Astyanax mexicanus: one gene and its partner. The protein of the gene in region 1 interacts with the protein of each later gene in a pairwise test. Links are inferred from orthologs where the notes say so. Each region holds a gene or a part of one and is shown in the gene's direction. Other genes may lie near its edges.

Evidence for each region.
Region 2: the proteins of gucd1 (region 1) and cth interact in binary tests that used the Homo sapiens proteins (3 or more experiments, as listed by UniProt). The two-hybrid records come from large-scale screens. The link is inferred for Astyanax mexicanus from reciprocal best matches to the Homo sapiens genes GUCD1 and CTH.

The regions. Positions count from the first base shown.
Region 1 is NC_064419.1:13,458,364-13,469,221, forward strand, and holds the start of gucd1 (protein GUCD1), read left to right. Parts: upstream 1-5,852; 5' UTR 5,853-6,505; coding exon 6,506-6,512; intron 6,513-6,780; coding exon 6,781-6,865; intron 6,866-10,858.
Region 2 is NC_064412.1:18,940,050-18,950,571, forward strand, and holds the start of cth (cystathionine gamma-lyase), read left to right. Parts: upstream 1-6,596; 5' UTR 6,597-6,780; coding exon 6,781-6,942; intron 6,943-9,201; coding exon 9,202-9,283; intron 9,284-9,657; coding exon 9,658-9,753; intron 9,754-9,874; coding exon 9,875-9,984; intron 9,985-10,253; coding exon 10,254-10,388; intron 10,389-10,522. Other genes in the region: ICOS ligand-like, read right to left, coding at 1,468-1,800, 1,902-1,962. UniProt on the Homo sapiens protein: Catalyzes the last step in the trans-sulfuration pathway from L-methionine to L-cysteine in a pyridoxal-5'-phosphate (PLP)-dependent manner, which consists on cleaving the L,L-cystathionine molecule into L-cysteine, ammonia and 2-oxobutanoate.

The DNA.
Region 1 (10,858 bases):
TTGGATAACGATTTGATTTGCTGGTTTTGTAGGACTCTGAAATGTGGTTTATGCACAACCGAATAGACATTTTTTCCAAGTTTGGTATCCAATTATTTCAAAATGATACAGTAAAATCACTTGATACTCATGTCAGTAATAGTATAGAATGTGCTTTTCAAGACTTTATCAGTGGCATTGGATAACAATTTGTTTTAATGGTTTGTAAGACTCTGAAATGTGGTTTATGCAAAAGTGAATCAACATTTTTCGTATGTTTGATATTTAATTACTCCAAAATGGTACAGTAAAATCACTTGTTACTCATGTCATTAATAGTTTGCAATGTGTTCTTCAAGACTGTCTTGGTGGCATTGGATAACAATTTAATTTGCTGGTTTTATGGGACCTTAAAATCTGGTTTATGCACAACCGAATAGACATTTTTTCCAAGTTTGGTATCCAATTATTTCAAAATGATACAGTAAAATCACTTGATACTCATGTCAATAATAGTATAGAATGTGTTCTTCAAGACTTTGTTAGTGCCATTGGATAACGATTTGATTTGCTGGTTTTGTAGGACTCTGAAATGTGGTTTATGCACAACCGAATAGACATTTTTTCCAAGTTTGGTATCCAATTATTTCAAAATGATACAGTAAAATCACTTGATACTCATGTCAATAATAGTATAGAATGTGATTTTCAAGAATGTCTTGGTGGCATTGGATAACAATTTAATATGCTGGTTTTATGGGACCTTAAAATCTGGTTTGTGCCCAACCGAACAGACATTTATTCTAAGTTTGGTCTCCAATTAAGCCAAAATGATACAGTAATATCATTTGTTACTCAAGTCATTGATAGTATAGAATGTGTTCTTCAAGACTGTCTTGGTGGCATTGGATAACAATTTAATTTGCTGGTTTTATAGGACTCTGAAATCAGGTTTTTTCACAACTGAATAGACATTTTTCCTAAGCTTGGTATCCAATTACTCCAGAATGATACAGTAATATCATTTGTTACTCATGTCATTAATAGTTTGCAATGTGTTCTTCAAGACTGTCTTGGTGGCATTGGATAACAATTTAATTTGCTGGTTTTATGGGACCTTAAAATCTGGTTTATGCACAACCGAACAGAAATTTTTCCTAAGTTTGGTATCCAATTACTCCAAAATGATACAGTAAAATCACTTGATACTCATGTCAATAATAGTATAGAATGTGTTCTTCAAGACTTTGTTAGTGCCATTGGATAACGATTTGATTTGCTGGTTTTGTAGGACTCTGAAATGTGGTTTATGCACAACCGAATAGACATTTTTTCCAAGTTTGGTATCCAATTATTTCAAAATGATACAGTAAAATCACTTGATACTCATGTCAGTAATAGTATAGAATGTGCTTTTCAAGACTTTATCAGTGGCATTGGATAACAATTTGTTTTAATGGTTTGTAGGACTGAAATCTGGTTTATGCAAAAGTGAATCAACATTTTTCGTATGTTTGATATTTAATTACTCCAAAATGGTACAGTAAAATCACTTGTTACTCATGTCATTAATAGTTTGCAATGTGTTCTTCAAGACTGTCTTGGTGGCATTGGATAACAATTTAATTTGCTGGTTTTATGGGACCTTAAAATCTGGTTTATGCACAACCGAATAGACATTTTTTCCAAGTTTGGTATCCAATTATTTCAAAATGATACAGTAAAATCACTTGATACTCATGTCAATAATAGTATAGAATGTGCTTTTCAAGACTTTATCAGTGGCATTGGATAACAATTTGTTTTAATGGTTTGTAGGACTCTGAAATCTGGTTTATGCAAAAGTGAATCAACATTTTTCGTATGTTTGGTATCCAATTAATCCGAAATTATACAGTAATATCACTTATTACTCATGTCAATAATAGAATGGAATGTGTTCTTCAAGACAGTCTTGGTAGCATTTGATAACAATTTAATTTGCTGGTTTTACAGGACTCCAAAATCAGGTTTTTGCGCAACCAAATAGACATTTTTCCTAAGCTTCGTATTCAATTACTCCAAAATGATACAGTAACATCATTTGTTACTCATGTCATTAATAGTATGGAATGTGTTCTTCTAGAATGTCTTAGTGGCATTGGATAACAATTTGATTTGCTTGTTTTATAGGACTCTGAAATCTGATTTATGCAAAAGTGAATTAACACTTTTTGTATGTTTGATATTTAATTACTCCAAAATGGTACAGTAAAATCACTTGATATATATGTTGTTAATAGTATAGAATGTGTTTTCCAAGCCTTTGTTAGTGCCATTGGATAACAATTTGATTTGCTGGTTTTATAGGACTCTGAAATCAGGTTTTTTCACAACTGAATAGACATTTTTCCTAAGCTTGGTATCCAATTACTCCAGAATGATACAGTAATATCATTTGTTACTCATGTCATTAATAGTTTGCAATGTGTTCTTCAAGACTGTCTTGGTGGCATTGGATAACAATCTAATTTGCTGGTTTTGTGGGACCTTAAAATCTGGTTTATGCACAACCGAACAGAAATTTTTCCTAAGTTTGGTATCCAATTACTCCAAAATGATACAGTAAAATCACTTGATACTCATGTCAATAATAGTATAGAATGTGTTCTTCAAGACTTTGTTAGTGCCATTGGATAACGATTTGATTTGCTGGTTTTATAGGACTCTGAAATGTGGTTAATGCACAACCGAATAGACATTTTTTCCAAGTTTGGTATCCAATTATTTCAAAATGATACAGTAAAATCACTTGATACTCATGTCAATAATAGTATAGAATGTGCTTTTCAAGACTTTATCAGTGGCATTGGATAACAATTTGTTTTAATGGTTTGTAGGACTCTGAAATCTGGTTTATGCAAAAGTGAATCAACATTTTTCGTATGTTTGATATTTAATTACTCCAAAATGGTACAGTAAAATCACTTGTTACTCATGTCATTTATAGTATGGAATGTGTTTTTCAAGACTGTCTTGGTGGCATTGGATAACAATTTGATTTGCTGGTTTTATGCGACCTTAAAATCTGGTTTATACACAACTGAATAGACATTTTTCTAAGTTTGGTATCCAATTAATCCAAAATTATACAGTAATATCACTTATTACTCATGTCAATAATAGAATGGAATGTGTTCTTCAAGACAGTCTCGGTAGCATTTGATAACAATTTAATTTGCTGGTTTTACAGGACTCCAAAATCAGGTTTTTGCGCAACCAAATAGACATTTTTCCTAAGCTTCGTATTCAATTACTCCAAAATGATACAGTAATATCATTTGTTACTCATGTCATTAATAGTATGGAATGTGTTCTTCAAGAATGTCTTAGTGGCATTGGATAACAATTTGATTTGCTTGTTTTATAGGACTCTGAAATCTGATTTATGCAAAAGTGAATTAACACTTTTTGTATGTTTGATATTTAATTACTCCAAAATGGTAGAGTAAAATCACTTGATATATATGTATATATTAATAGTATAGAATGTGTTTTCCAAGCCTTTGTTAGTGCCATTGGATAACAATTTGATTTGCTGGTTTTATAGGACTCTGAAATGTGGTTTATGCACAACCGAATAGACATTTTTCCTATGTTTGGTATTCAATTACTCCAGAATGATACAGTAATATCACTTGTTACTCATGTCATTAATAGAATGGAATGTTTTCTTCAAGACTTTCTTGGTTTCATTGGATAACAATTTGATTTGAAGGTTTTATAGGACACCGAAATCTGGTTTATGCAAAACCGAATATACATTTTTCCTAAGTTTGGTATTCATTTACTCCAAAATGATACTGTACAATCAGTATACATGCATGACATAAATAGTATGGAAGGTATTCTTTAAGGATTTCATGTTCTGATTTAAGAAGAATTAGATTTTCTTTTAGATTTATAGCACTCCGAAATAGATAGTTTTGGTATTCAATTACTCAAAAATGATACAGTAATATCACTTCAAACATATATCTGGGATACATGAGAATAAGATCTTTAAGAATTTAGGGATGTGATTTTATAACAATTACTTATTTAATAACACTCCAAACCTTTTCAAAACGTTACACTGTTCTACAGATAAGAAGTGGTCTTTCTGGTGTATATTTGTGGATTAGATCTCGTTAAATCATTTTTATTTAGGTGTAAAACTAGTTTCTGTTCCATTTTAAGTCTCTGCACGAGAAGCGCCAGTCTCCGCTCCTCCGGGTGCGCTGTGCACGCTGCTACAGTAAAACACGGTTTAGACGCGCACTTCAGTTTTCGGTGTAGATAGCGCGACCGAGCGTTTTCTAAGTGCAGATGGCGTGACCGCGGTAAAAAATGTTTAGCGTGTTTTGCCTCGGCATATCAGAGTGGAGTTTATGATGACGTGCGGTCTCAGCAAATCAGAGTGGCGTTGACTGGTTGAAATCAACTTAACAATTTTCCACATAAATTGCATTTCCAAATAAAAATAAAAACATACGTAAATAAATACCTACATTCGTTAATTAATTAAATAGATAAAAAATATAATACTCAAATAAATAATTAGAAATAAATGATGCTTAATCATAAATAATCTATATTCATAGTGATTAACAATATTGATAACAACAATTTTGACATACATTTAAAAATAAATATATTCTTAAATAATGTTAATTTCCTGCACCTGTATTAGACGTCCCCATGACGTCCAAAAAAGTGACCTAGTCCGACGTTCAAATGTTTAACTGCATATTGACGTCCAAGTGGGGTCATAGTTAGACGTCCAAATAGCGGACCTAGTTTGCACGTCTTGTAGACGTACAGAATTGGTCTTGGACCGACCGACGCAATATAGACATGATCTGCACGTCCATAAGACGTCTAATGTTTAGTGGGTTATTTCAGCACGAAAAGGGCGGATTCAACTGAGTCGGCTGTATTATGTAGGATATGTAGTATTATGTAGTTTATAGATATATAAATACTTATAGATATTATAAATATTATTTATATATTATATCATTTATATTATTTAGTTTATATATATATATATATATATATATATATATATATATATATATATATATATAGTATTATTTAGTTTATATATGTAGTATCATGTTTATGTTGTTATATGTTAATAGTTATAGATATATAAATACTTATATATTTATTTACATAAACTAAATAATATATATAGTATTTATATATATTTATATATATATATAAAAATACATAATACTATATAATATATAATATATATAATAAATAATATAACATAATACTTTATTCTAATTTATGCTCTTTTTTCCAACTTCATTTCAAACGCCCTTTTATTTGTTTATGTTCAGTTCCACCCGTTCACATTTAAAATATTTAAGTAACTGGCTCATTTCTCAGCTCTTACTTTGGTTGTGGCGGGTAGAATCTCAAACAGGAAACAGGAAATACTATAGAGATATTTTTACGGCTTTCTACGGCTCTGGACTGTCCCATTTCAGTACTGCCATCGCAGCCTACACATCGAAGGACACACCTTCGTAGACTGCGTCCTTCGAAGAATGCAGCCCCTGAATTGAGACATAGATATAGACAGACACCGCCTATTGGAGCTGATTTTTCAGCACGGCCGCCATTTTAGATGGGTCTCCCGTGTACCCTAAGTGAATTTATTTGTACTGAGGAAGGTGTATAATACAACTATAATAATCACAACTTTGTTTGGTTTGTTACAAACGGCAGATATGTAGTTATGATACAGGACGCTCACTGGAACATTAATAGGAAACATGTTATAAATATATCTAACTGATATATGTATAATATATACTCTGTTGCGTGTGCTCTGGTGCTAGAATTGAGTGGAGACCCAACCAATATGGCGGCGATTTTGGATTTACGCTCCAACCAATAATGTGGCCGGAGTTGGACGCCAACCACTCTTGAATGCAGCGAGAGGCTAGACTTATGGACCGGCTTGGCAAGTAGTACTAGTGTTTTTTGAACAGGCGTCACCAAAGCAGCCCGAGGGGCCTTGCGATGGGGAACCAGGACGGGCATATAGGATTGTGCATCGGTTAAAAACAGTAGCACACAAAGTAATATTAGATATTAATGGTTATAAAATCAAGGTAATATTAGTGTTACTGGCCATAAGTGCAGGGCAATATTAGTTTTACTGTTTATTAGGGCTGGGTAATACTAGTGTTACTCGTTATTACTGCTGGGTAATACTAGTGTTACTGGTTATTAGTGCTATTCGGCTCTACTCTCATAACGCTTTCAGAAGGACAGAACAGCGCGCTGAACTAAAGGTAGACTTTAAAGTTAATAGTAGTTAACCAGGGTAATAAGTAGTGTACTGGCTCTAACCCAGCGAGCTGAGCTAGGGCTGTTTGTGCGGGTGAAGCCGGGGATCTGCTTATTAAAACATACGTTAAACCGTAGAATGAAGAACTGCGCTGGATAAATGTTAATGGGAAAGTAACATTAACTAGCTCAATACATCATGACAGGTAAGCTATGCTAAAAGTTTTGTTTTTAGGGTAGCTTTACTAACCTTCGTTAAGCTAGCTTTCTACATAGGTTCTTTGAATGTCTTGTTTAAGTGATACTTTGCCATGCCTCAGATTGTGATTAGATGTTCAGGGTATCTGCTTCACATTCACTTAGCAGATGGATATTTACCTGGTTAATCTAACTAGCTAGTTAATTTTCTTGATTTTGCCATTAAAGTCCAACGACAGATGTCCTTGTTATCTTAACCTGCGAACTATTTTGTAGATGATGTCGTTTTATTGAACGTACCAATAATTCGACAGCTCTATCACTGGGATTGCGGACTGGCATGTTCTCGGATGGTTTTAAAGTAAGTACAGAATCACTTTTTCTTTTTTTTTTTTTCTTTTTTTTTTTTTTAATCTCACATCGCAATTACTTTGGTTTTCATTCGAGGCATATGTTTCTCCGGCTGAGCTGCTGATTCAGAATAACGGGAAAATGTAAGGAAATGTGGAAAGTAATATAAACTAAATAATATATTAATATAAATAAATATACTTCCAACTATAAATAGTTAGTCTGGCTCAAACTGATCTCATACTTTAAAATGTCGTAACACTCTTTTGTGTTGCATTGCACATACAATCATTTCCCAAGATATTGAGAGCTAATTTCTTTTATATTTGCTGTAGACTGAAAACATTTGTCTGGGATCAGATACATAGCTCAGAGGATAGCACCTTCTGTCTGAACCCACCCATATTTGTTGTGAGCAAAAGTACATGAAAAACATGAGATTGGCAAGTGTGTTTTGTTGCCAAGGTGTCTCCTGATACATACATTTTTCAAACAATAAATAGTGCTGAATGTCTGTACAGATTTGGGTTTTATCTTCGCAGACTGTGCATTTATATCATATATATAAGTAACCAGTATGAAAACCAGAGAGCTGTCTATGGTAAAGATCAGAGCCATTGACCAAATATTGGCCATAGCAACCATTTGAAAAGTAATAAAGAAAAGGCATTTTCATGAAAATATTTTAATGAATAAAAGTACAGTGGCTTCACCAGCAGATGAAAACCACTATTAACCTGAAGAATAAGAAGGCCAGATGCACTTTAATTTACTTTAAGCTTATCTGTTCCAATCATTCTTCTCACATGAATAATGGGTTGGTTTACACAAAAAGCTTCCATCCTTTAAACTCTGTCAGATGCAGATATAAATACATATAAACATATATATATATATATATATATATATATATATATATATATATATATATATATATATATATATATATATATATAATATGTTGAAATGCCTGAAAAGTTTTGTCTACCGAAAAAAAAATTATATGAAGCTAAGGTTCTATAAGGATAAAAAAGGCTTATTTACAGTGGCTTGCAAAAGTATATACCTTATACATTTGCCATTCTAACACATATATAACATATGGAGTTATATATAATGTATGGAGTTTCCTGGAGGATTTTGATAGATTTATCTAGAACCAGAACTGATCTTGTACTTAAAAAAGGTTTAAGGTCCTTAGCTGATTTCATATATAAAAAAATATGATTTGTGTGGCATATTTCATAGTAGAGCACATACAACATCAAAATGAAGCAGGTTCTTGCTACAATTTAAATCATTGGCCCTTTTACAAAAGTACAGCCAAGAGAATATGACTCTCTGGAGCAGATCAGTAAACATTAGCCTGTTTGCACCATGCCTAATACCAGGCCCTGTGGAACAGTGCAACTGTGTTCTCTGAAATGAAGGTTCTCTGTCCAGTAATTTTACGAGTTGGGAATGAGGTAGGGTGGTGATCCAACATCCTGACCTTGCATATGCTTTTTTTATTAGTGCCATTAAATCCTCAATGCTTTACATTTTAGTTGAACGTCTTCTCTGGGCAGTAAAGACAGTTACTCAAAAATGGCAGGATACATTTTTTTTAATATGCTTGAACTCAGAAGAAAAAATGTCCCAATACTTTGTTCATGAAATGTACTTCTAAAACCTCAGTTTTGCCATATTGTCAGTTAATTATAAAATATAAAAGCAGTTTGTGTAATGCCAAGATTTTATTACTGTAAAAGTCTGTGACTTGATTTGAGAAACAGTACCTCACAAAAGTGAGTGCACTCCTTACATTGCTGTAAATATTGTATGATACCTTTCAATTGAACAGCACTGAAAAAATTATAGTTTGATTCAATGTAAAGTAGTCAGTGTCCAGCATGTATAATAGTGTAATTTATCTGTGTCCTCAAAATAACTCAACACACAGCCATTAATGTCTAAACCACTGGCAACAAAAGTGAGTACATTTTCCTTCTCCAATGTTATGCGGTTTGTTAGAGTTAGAGGTGTGAATGGGGGCAGGGTTATTATTTTGTTGTTTTTGGTATGATTCTCTCATACATGGCACTTCATGGCAAAAAATATGAGATGGCCTAGGCTATAAAAATATTGCTTATAACTGAGAAACAGAACAATGGTCAAAGGTTTCCACTCAGAACAGTCCTTCTCAGGATCGACCAAAGAAGTTTTGTATAATGTCCAGTGGTTGGCTTTAAGAAATAGATTTACGAGTGCTGCAAGCATTACTGCAGAGTTTGAAGAGGTGAGAAGTGCAATGCAAAAAAAGGCACAAGCCTGCAAACAGATTGCTAAAGACAGGCAGTCCAAAAAATATGTCTTGTGGTTTGACAAGATCAAGATAAACTTTTTTTTGGCTCAGATTGCTTTCAGCATGTGCCAGCATCCTTGCTAGGGCTGTGTATTGAAATTCAATATCAAAAAGCACTGAACAAAATGACTTTGTACTACAGAGTACAGAAAGATTTAAAAACAAACTGTGCTTCTTTTTGATATTTTGTATGAAATGCTAGCTTTTAGCTTATGCTACTTTACAGATTCTTCACAGAGGTAAAGACATGGGTGATGTTGAGCAGTCTAGTCTGTGTTTCTGTTAGAGCTTGTACAAGAGATCTGTTCAGTTCTCTTTTGAATACTTAAACATTGAGTATTTTATGTCCATTTATAGGGTTTATGGAACTATTAAAAAAAAAAAAACGCTTTAAATTAAGGCTTTGATTAGTGTAGGGTTTACTTTATCCAACAAAATTAAACAATATATGAAGAAATCAGACCTCCGAAGCAGAATAACAGCTAAAGAATGTAAACATATATATATATACACATGTATATGTATATGTATATGTATATATATATACATATATATATATATGTATATATATATACATGTACACACATATACATATATATTAGAGTTGCACGGTGTACCGAAGGTTCGATTCTTTTTCGATACTACGTCATCACAAACGATTCGGTTCTTTAGCGTTCGATGCTTTCGATACTGTATATAGCCCAGTCACTAGCTTCAAATGAGTCAAATTAGTAGGCGCGATTTGATTCAGTTCATAAGAAAACTGATTCACACCGCAGCAGTCGGTGTGGCAGGATTCAGATAAACTTAGTGTTCTGAACAAATGAATCGATTCACGCGCAAGCCAGCAGAGCAGCAGCGAGTGTAGAATGGCGACGGCTAAAATAACAGATGTCTCTCGTCCGCGACTTGTGGACAAAACGGGCGCGAGGAGTGAAGTGTGGGAAAATAGTCTGAGATGTAGGCATCTGTTTTTTATTTATATTTTTATTTTTAAATAAAATAACGAAAATAACGAAAACTGAAAGTGAAACTAAACTACTTTATTTATTAGCGCTGTTTTCACTCCCGCAGTTGTACAGCGGGGGGTGTTGTGCCGATTCTGTCCGCGAAGCGGGAGTCGGATTCAGTAGCGGATTCGGCACAAGCGCGGCGGCACCTCGCGGTCCGCGGTGTTAGTTGTAAGCGCTCGCGCTAGCCGCAAAATACGACAGAAAACACTGAGGGAGCTGCAGACTTATGTGTGGGACTAGAATATGAGCACGATGAGATAAAAGAGAACCTTTACCTGTGAGTAGCTCACATCAGAACATGCAAATCTCTCTCTCTCTCACTCTCGCTGTGTCTCTTTCTCTGTTTCTCTCTCTCTCGCACGTGAACGCCTCCGCGTTTGACCTGCAGCACTGTGTTTAGCTGTTCTTAAAAATCATTTTAATTAAATAATAGTTCTATGCTTCTATGTTACAGTGTTATTTAACATAATAGCAGACAAGCACCCTGATCTCTACAAAGGGCTGAGAAGTCGACAGGTTAGTGGAGTTAGTCAAGATACACTCTGTCTGTAGCTTTACTAAGATTTACTAGCGACTGCTTATTAAAAACGGTAAACGGTTGATTAATAAAACGGAGCAGTGAGTGTTAAAATGAACATAACATTGT
Region 2 (10,522 bases), on another chromosome or scaffold:
ATTTTAAGCATTTATTTTATTTATTGCTGATTATTATGGCTTACAGCCAATAAAACCCCAAAATACAGTGTCTCAGAAAACATATTACATAAGAACAATTAGTACTCTTGGTAGTGTGGGTAGTGTGCCAAGTCCTGCTGGAAAATGAAATCCCCATCTCCATAAAAGTTTTCAGCATGACATTGACTTTGGACATGATAAAACACAGAGGTGTTGGTCCACTATCAAGTCCAAAGTCAGTGCAGTTTCTCAGTAGTGCTCAGGGGGACGTCTGTGAAAAAAATTTTCACACTTTCACTCAGTGATAAACTCTTGCATCCAGACTGCAACTGTAAAAACAGGAGGACGAGTGATTTTTTCGGCTTTTTCAATCACTTGACATCGCGTTCAGTAGCTCCTCTATTTTCACTCGCTGTTGCTTTTACGTGGATCTCCGTGGAAACACACACCCAAAGTGTAATTACATGCGTGGCAGCAGCTAGCAAAAAGCTATTTTAATAAACACAAGGTGGCGAAACTAAGAGATGTGCGTCTGGACGGGACTAAAATTAGCAGAGGACCACGGAGTTCTGTGAAAAACAGTAGGTAATTCAGCCTCAAATATTCTCAGAGGACGTCTAAGAAAAACACATACATGGTTGCTCGGGACGAGAATAAATCACAGAGGACCCCCCATTAAAAGAGAAAATTACCCCAGGACCCCCTGAGAAACTAATCCTATCCAGATAGGGCTTTATATCACAAGATTATACACAAATTTGACTTGTTTATGCAGTTTTACCAAGTCTTGGGAGCGTTTTTTATTTGCCAGCTTTACCATTTACAAGTTAAATAGCGCAGTCTCTGATGTGTCAAGCTAAGAGTGGCAATGAGAGTGGGTCTACTTTTCTTATTAAGGGTCATTCAAACATTTTAGGCTTTTTTAAGCTTTAAGTTTTTGTTAGGTTAAAATGCCAAGTAATTATTATTATGCTTTAGTATAGGGTTTCCTACGGCTTTGGGTATTAATCTTATTATCAAGTAGCTCTGTCATTCCTCAGTCAATATATGAAAACTAAGCTACAAAAAGACTGTTGTGCATTAACTGTTTGTGTGATGTCAAAAAAACCAACACATTTGCATATATCAGCAAGCAACTTTTTCCATCCCCCCATTCATGCTGAAGTATTAAGAAATGTTTTAGCCTGGACTGCTTTTTAAATAAAGCACAATAAAAGGGAGCCAGAGCAATGGTATATTGCTAAATGGCCATGTAAAGTATAAATTGTGTTTGGTGTGCATCAGACAATTTATTATATGTTAAGTATCTCTTAAAATATATGTGTATATAGCTAGAAATGTTTAGCATAAATAAACATATATATATATATATATATATATATATATATATATATATATATATATATATATATATATATATATATATATATGCATAATATTTAATATGTGATACATGATAATTCTTACCTGCAACACTCAGGCAGACAGTGCATATTGAAGCATTAGCTCCACGGTCCAGACGCTTTAAATATAGACTGTAATTCTGGGCATCTGGAAAACGGATGTCACTTAACTTCAACGTGAAATTTCCAGTTTGTGCCAGAGAGGACACTGTGCTCCTGCCATTGAAGTCCACTTCGAGTCTTTCCTCATGTCCCCCTCTCCACACAGCTTTGTAGACCACCTCAGAGCCTCTTTTCCATTCAAATGAAATGTTTAAAGAGCTCAAATCCTCTGGTCCATTATAAAGACAGGGAATAGAGACAGATTCCCCCAACATTCCAACTACACATGTTTTAGCTATATGGAAAAAGAGTTACATGAACAGAACTGTAAATTAAAATACACAGTGCCAGTGTTGTTTGTAACCAAAGGGTGTGTACATGGATTATTCAACCTACCTTGACATGTATAAAAACATAAAAAGTTCAGCAGCAATGTCCTAAACCATGTTTTCCTCATTTCCAGTTGGGGATTAGCTCATATAGCACATCACACAGTTTGCAATTATGTTGTCAAAAGAAAAAAAGCAATGAAAAAAAAGAAAAAGCTGTCTGAGAAGATTTAAGAAGATCTGTTCAAACCTGCTGAGCGTGCTGCTTTCCCACAAGCACACCCTTCAACAACATAATGCAACAGAAATAATGTTCAAACTAGCTCCCAGTAGTGTGCTGTCCTTTAGCTCCCATCCAGAGTGTTCCTCCTTTCACACAGCTTTGCAAGCTTTCACAGGCCTAGCAGCTCACATCATTTGGTTATCGGTTGTAAAACTTCTACATGAGCCTTTCTTCTTCCTGCATTTGTAAACTGATAAACATAAACCATGCACATGTGGGTGTAGCCCTACTGCTCACACAGGCCCAACAGGAAAGGCTCATTTTGCAGCCTCAGACATTTGCATGCAGGAAGTTAAGTCTGGACTATAGATAACGTGTCTAATAGTTGCTAGAAGAAACAAAAAAAATCAACATAGCACAAAAAGTAAAGAGATTTTTATTTGGTGGATTATTTGTTTGCTTCTTGGCAATACATCTTATATCTTTGTAAAGCATGTTAAGTTTTCTTTTAAATGATGCCATATTTGTAAGGAACATGCATTTGTGGGATGAGCAGCAGAGCTAAGTATGTGGATTGCACCCATAGATTTTTTGCCAAATCCTCTCTGCCATTGCCAAACAGCGTATTGTTTCATTTACATATTTGGTGTTTAACGAACTTCTTGGGACGCCCACCCCTCGGCCTGTCTTTCCAGTCTTAAATTTGAAGATACTACTAGGGCTCACGCCAAATAATGTCGCAACTTGGTTTTGCAGAACACCAACTTAAAGTTGCCCAACCACCATTCTCTGAGTAGTCCAGCTGGGGAGATTGCTGATTCAAATCCCGTTTATGTAGCTTGCCTTCAGCTTCTGGACCCCCGAGAGAGCACAATTGTCCTTTATGGCAATCTCTTCCCACCTCACTCCAAAGGCGTCTGTGAGCTGATATATCAGAACCGAGTCGCTGTGCTTTCCTCCGAGTGCGCTGTGATGCTATTCAGCAATGCTGCATCACCAACAGTTTGAAAAGAGGAGGTGGCTGAATTCACATGTGTTGGAGGAGGCATGTGCTAGTCTTCACCCTCCTGGTGTTGAGGCATCACTAGTGACAGAGAGAGTCCTAATGAATGGGTTAGGTAATTGGCATGGTAAATTGGGGGGAAAAAATAGGACAAAAAAAGTAATAATAATAAAAAGTTTCCCTAATGCCTGAGTCCTATCCAGATTAGTCAAGTGTACTAGAAACTCAAAACAAGTATTAATATAAACAGAAAAATAAGCTGTTTGGCAATTTTTTAATGGGCAAAACCCACATACTCAGCTCTGCTGCTCATCCCACAAACACATCTACCATTTAAAAGGGAAATCAACAGGATTTTTAACGATATGAGATTTACTTTTAGTGCTTACTTTTTGTGCTAACCTGTTATTATGAAATAACAAAATGTTGGAATGAGTAACATGCCTGAAGCCCCTTTCTTAATATAACATCCTATGAATACTTTCTACCTTGCTTATTGTACATGTTCACAACAAGTCTTCGCAACCCTCCACTGCCCCATCTCCTCCCTTTAACTCTGTTATCTCTCCTCCCTAACACCACTTTTTAGAGAGGGGAGACTGGCTTCCTATGACGAGCAAAAGCTGCCCTAAATAAAATGTGGTCAGATGCAAATTACACCCACTACGTTATGCTACAATGACTATTTTTATTGACATTTCCTCATATAAACAAATGTGGCAGCTTCACATTGGAATAATATACTTTAAAGATTTGATATGTTATTTTGTAGTTTTCCCAAAAATATATTTAAGTAAGGAAATATGATCACATGTAAAAGTGGTTGCAAGAAAAATGTAATAACATGACAAAATAACAAGTTTATAAAGTGTTACTTTTAATTCTGCTGCATTATAACAGTATAACAAATTATATTTAGCCTTCCATATTGATTAAGCAAATTACTGTTCACTGTTGTCTTTTTTGTTTGTAAGCACTTCATAAACCAACTTTATAGGCATTATTTTCATATCAAAAAACTTCAATATCATGGATTTGTTTGCGCACACAGGTCCTCACAGAGGGCCAGAGCTCATTTGAACTAGTGCAAAGTCTTAGCAAGTAATTCACTCTGTGTTTGGTCATAAAATGCTTTGTAATCATATGTTTCCTAATATATAAAATGGTAAATTTTGCATCAGCAGCAGTTCGAAAAGAGGCAGTGGCTGACTTTACATGTATAGGAGGAGGCATGTGCTAGTCTTCACCCTCTTGATTTTTATGGAGTCAAAAAAGGGTCATAAAGATTTTGAGTTTGTAAAACAGAAGTCACAAATGTACTGAAACTTGTAACTGCGTTTAAACAACTGCATGCACGAAAATCCAAATCCACAAATTAACTGGAATGTGCAAACTTGAAACAGAAAGTAATATTAATAATAATTCAAATGTACAAATGTGAAAAAAATATTTTAATTATATATAAATATATATATTTTAATTTGTAAATCCAATCTCTTGAATGTGTGAATCAGTACTGCTCAAATGGCTTAAGCTGGGTCAGACCAAAAATCACATGGAATTTGTGAGGTTGTAAATGTGACAGTGGGTGTTTTTCACTGTGGAGCTAAAAATCCTCTCAGTACTCCGAGCTGCAGAGACCCACCCATTGTTCTGATTGGTTAAACAAACCCCGTAATCTGATTGGTCCGGATAAAGCTTTCCTATTGGTCCATCAATCAGGCGTCAAAACAGGGTCAAAATTCGCAACTGCAGCTGGAGCTTCGCACACGCAGCAGAGAAGATGAATGAGAGGATTTTTAGCTCCACAGTGAAAAACACCCACTGTCACATTTACAACCTCACAAATTCCATGTGATTTTTGGTCTGACCCAGCTTAAGCCATTTGAGCAGTACTGATTCACACATTGAAGAGATTGGATTTACAAATTAAAATATATATATTTATATATAATTAAAATATTTTTTTCACATTTGTACATTTGAATTATTATTAATATTACTTTCTGTTTCAAGTTTGCACATTCCAGTTAATTTGTGGATTTGGATTTTCGTGCATGCAGTTGTTTAAACGCAGTTACAAGTTTCAGTACATTTCTGTTTTACAAACTCAAAATCTTTATGACCCTTTTTTGACTCCATAGATTTTGGGGCATCACTAGTGATATGGGGAGTCCTAATGAGTAAGTTGGGTAATTGGCCGTGGAAATTGGGGAAAAAATGGGGAAAAAATGTAAATTAAATTTAAGATATTAAAATGACTTCTATCATTATGTTAATATTCTAAAAGGGTTCAGCACAATTCAGATTGGTTCAGTTTACTACTTTTAATGTTAACTGTTATGTAAACAGAATGTTGTGTTTTTTTCAACCCTATCAGTTATTCGGGTTCAATCAACCCTAAAAAAAGAGATGAAGCTGACCCTGAAAGGAAGAGCTATTGTTAAATGTCAAAGTTTACTGATAGAGACTAACAGAAAAATTATACCTGTGATCAGTAGACTTATAATACTAATACTAATAAAACTGCATTCCTTTAACTTCAGCAAGCTAATATTTAGCTATTTAGTTACAAATGTTTTTGAACTTCCTTGTAAAATATTTTGTTCACTTAGTTTTTTGCTTACTGTTTCCTTATTTAGTTAATTTTTCTTTTTCATTGTGCATATTTCATTAATCCTGTCTTCAGGGCATACAGAGTACAATGTTATCACAAACATTACTCAACAACAAGCTCTTGAATAGGGCAAGTTCAGGTTCAGGACACAGAGTGCTCTTTTTGGAGGGGGAACTGTTAAAGTACTATGCAAGTTTTAAGAAGCAAAACATGTTTTTTAAATGATTAAATAACAATGTTTTGCTCAATATAATGTATAATATAATAATAATTACACAACACAATAATATAAGGGTTTTAAAATATTCACTTAAAACAGTTCGTCCTGTATTTTCATTGTTACAGCCATATTTCATCAAACACAGAATGGACAGGATATACGCTGTTTATGTTTTTACTGTATTTTGGTTCAACAAACAAGTATACAAAAAATGTCAGACAATTTACAATATATGAGTTATTGGTGGGTACAAACTTAATTATTCTTGCATCATGCTTATTGAACAGGAAATCTAAATTAGAAATAAAACAAAAATACAATAATTGAGGAAGGCTAATCGATATACGATAGATCATCATTATAAAATAAATCATAATAATAGAATAACGTTTTTTTGTATGGATTCTACTTAAAGATTGGAGAAGTAAATTAAACTCAATTAAATATAGGAAAGCTTTGTGAATAAAATATATTTTAAGTAGAATATAAAAGTTTACAATATATTCTAAAGGTTTATTCGATGTACTGGTATAGTAACAAATGATATGATTAAGTGTAAAAGTGTGGTTAACATAATATAACGTTAGATAATACAGCACGTTGTCTCTGTATTGTTGGTTGAACGTGTTGCATCATCGGGACGTCGGGTCTCCGCAAACGTGGGTCACGTGGTGCACCGCGCCCCCACGCGCACGCCAATGGCTGTCAGTGTGCGGGAGGGAGTCAGACGGTTCGCGGGTATAAGACTAATGTTTCTGCTGCTCCGGGTTTCAGTGGTAACCGCGGTCTCTGGTACGCAGGCAGTGTGATTCCTCCCCCCGCGCGTGTTGATCTGCTCTCAGGGACGCGTGTCTCCTCCAGGCCGGTCAGCAGTAAATAAAGCATGGCTAGCGGCAGCGGCGGCGAGTGGCTGTCCGGGTTCAGCTCTTTCGCCACGGACGCGATTCACGTAGGCCAGGAGCCGGAGCAGTGGAACTCCATGGCCGTGGTTCCTCCCATTTCACTCTCCACCACCTTTAAACAGTACGGCCCGGGCAAGCACGCGGTGAGTACCCGGGGGCGGCTCGGGTTACCTGGGGAGGGGGTGGTATAGTGTCTTTAAGAAGAACGTGGATTTAGACCCACCCGGTAACGTTAAATCAGTGTGGTTAAATAGCCCGTGTTCCCCCGGCTGCTCTGTAGATAATAAGCGGGACCGCAGGCTGTGTTATTTACTGTGGTTCATTAGCCATGATGATGTGATTAACTCGACCCGGCTAAACTAGACTAAATGAACCCCCTCTTTATCAACACAAAGAAAGAGATTTGTGGCCTCACTGCTTATAATATCCATAAATTCCCTATAATAACACATTTATGAGCACTCAGCAGGTTCAGGGGAGTAGATTAAAGTGCCCAAACATTATATATCATCTAATATCATCTAGTATCATTTACATGTGAATGTTTTAATGGGTTAAAGGGTGGAAAGATAGCTAAATATTTAGCTAGGTTAGATGTTGGGTGGGTTGATGAAGATTTTAGTCAGATATTCTTATTATGAATTTTAAAAGCTCCCAGTTGAGTAGCTAGCTACAGGATGTTTGCCAGAAAAAATGTGAGAAATGTATATAAAATGTGAAAATATCAGCCATATTTCAATATCAGCTATAGTTTTACATAGGTCAGCAGGGTCAGGGGAGTAGATTAAAGTGCCCAAACATGATCTATATCATCTAGTATCATTTACAGTACAAGATTTTAATAGGTTTATGTGTAGAAAGATAGCTATTTAAATCATATGTAAAACATATCACCTATACTCCAATATCAATTATCATTTTAGGTAGGTCAGCAAGGTCAGGGGAGTAGATTAAAGTGCCCAAACATGATCTAGTGTATCATCTAGTTTCATTTACATTACAAGATTTTAATATTGAGGAAAGATCCCCATATTTCACTGTCAGTTATCATTTTACATCGCTCAGCAGGGTGAGTGGAGTAGATTAAAGTGCCCAAACATGATCTAGTGTATCATCTAGTTTCATTTTCATTACAATATTTAGTGAATTTAACCCTCTATGCCATTTAGATTATTGCTAGATAGTGTTCTTCTTTTTTTTATCATTATCATTATAAAAGCTTCCAGTGGAGTAACTACATGATATGTGGCAGAATAAGAGTAAACTATACAGTCATCATATCAATCATAGGCAATCATATCAAACTATCAGATATATTTTAATATCAGTTATCATGTTAGATAGCTTACCTTATCCTTCATTTCTATTAATAAACCCATTAAATATATCAGGCTGATTTTATCACCTATTTATTATTCAATACGTGGTCCCTTTAAATAATTCTCTATAATACAACAAAGTATATGTGTGTATATTTTTTTATCGCACATTGTCAGTGCTGCTGTTTATGTTTCAGCCATCAGGGAGAGTTGAAAGCAGGTGAGATGTGTTTGTTGTGGAGAACAATAGGAACCATTCTACTTTGGGCAGTTAGCCCAAAAAGACCTTTGTGGCCGCCCTGAGCTCAGTTCAACACTGGCTGACATTTGAATAATGTGGTACAGCAGTATTCTCTTTTTGGTTTTCAATGAAGTGATTTAATGGAGCCAGATTGACAGTAATAAATCACACATCTGATTGCCCTTTGTACACTTTCTCTTACTAATAATTCCTGAGAGTAGATACTGATAGCCTGGTAAGTTCAAGTGTGGGTCAAGGTTAAAAAGAGAAAAACAGATTGCCGGTAAAGTCCACCTGCTATGTAAAGGCTTCGTGCCTCTGTATCAAAGTGGGCATGTTGTAAGCCCACTTGTGCAACAGCTGATAGATCTGTTTTTAGTTGTGACTGGTCAGTTCCAGATCCATTGAGCTGGTGCCAAAAGACTTACCAAATAATGTCAGCTTTACCAGAGTATTGCTTGTTATTAAATGATTTTAGCTTTGATATGTGCAGCAAATTGAAACGTCAGAAAAACTGTGAACTGGTTAAGCACTTGAAACGCACAGAGGGTCACAAGTAATTGCTGTCTAGTCCTACGCCAAGTTTTTTAAAACAATTTTAAAAGTACTGTCAAAAACATTAAACATCATTAATGAGTCTTTTAGATGCTTTACTGTACTAAATCCAGTTAACCAGGGCTAATTATACTATCTCTGTGATATAACATATTGGCCTATATGGTCATAATTAGACTTTTTTCCAGCATTTACTAGTTTGTAGCATAAATAGTTTGTACTGTAGTTTTATGTTTTGTTGGTTTGCATTCAGTATTTGTTCCATATTTTTTTGTTTTAATCACTAGGGATTTGAGTACAGTCGCAGTGGAAATCCCACACGCAACTGCCTTGAGAAGGCGGTTGCTTCTTTGGATGGAGCTAAGCACTGTAAGTCATCTGTTTAGTTACCTATTTACTTAAGTACTTATAATAACTTGTGAGCGCTGTGTAAATGATCAGCTTACTGTACACCTTACTGTTACTGAAAAGACTGTGTGAGAAGAACAGACGATTGGTGCAGGTGTAACTGACAATCGCATGCTCACTCACCTTGAAGAGATAAGCTCAGTATTGCATCAGATAAAGTCATAGTAACCTGCTTTTAAAACTGACACATCTCATTCATCTGTTGGCAAGTTGTGCTGCTTCCTCTTTATTACATAACAGTAGGTATTTCCAAATGTGTGACTAAGCAGGTTCTTGTAATTGATGATGATGATGATGATGATGATGATGATAGTGATGTGGTTTGTTAATGATAGGTGTTGCTCTTGCCTCTGGACTTGCTGCTACTGTGACCGTTACGCACATGCTGAAATCTGGGGATGGAATCGTGTGCATGAATGATGTCTATGGAGGTAGGCGACCGCTACACACACTGTTTGTAATTCCTTGAATTCTGTTGCTTGAGCAAAAAAGGAAGTGGCAAAAATGAGGAAGTGATAATGAATTTAATGTGTTTCTTATTTTCCTCACCAGGAACCAATCGCTATTTCCAAAGAATAGCTAAAGAAATTGGCTATGATATCTCCTTCGCTGATTGCACAAAGCCTGAAGTCTTAAAGGCAGCTCTTAAGCCTAATACAAAGGTGTGACTCCAGGGTGTCTGGTCTGAAAGAGCAGCTTCTTTATTACATAAGAATGAAATTTATGCACAGTCACTGTGATTTGACTTCATTTTTTGCTTGCCTAATTGTGACTCTGTTCAGTCCCTACCCTTATTAAAATGCTCTTGTGATTCAGCACTAAACACACACAGTGGGTGGGGCTACTGGTTTCCTGTTCTGTCTGCTGTTTTTTATACAGCAATAGAAGCCTGTTGTTTCATCATTTCATATGGATGTTCTCTTTCATACAGATGTTGTGGATTGAGACTCCATCAAACCCAACAATGAAGGTTGTGGACATACAAGCATGTTCAGACCTTGCACATGAACAAAACAAAGACATTATTGTAGTTGTGGACAATACCTTCATGTCTGCCTATTTCCAGGTATGTCTTACATTTGCTCACATCCTGAATTTCGTCACTTCTGTTTTTAAACGCAGATGTACGTCACAGCATTTGTGACTCATTATGAGAGTTCTTATTGCATCAGCCATTATTTGTTCAAACCAGTCTGCTCA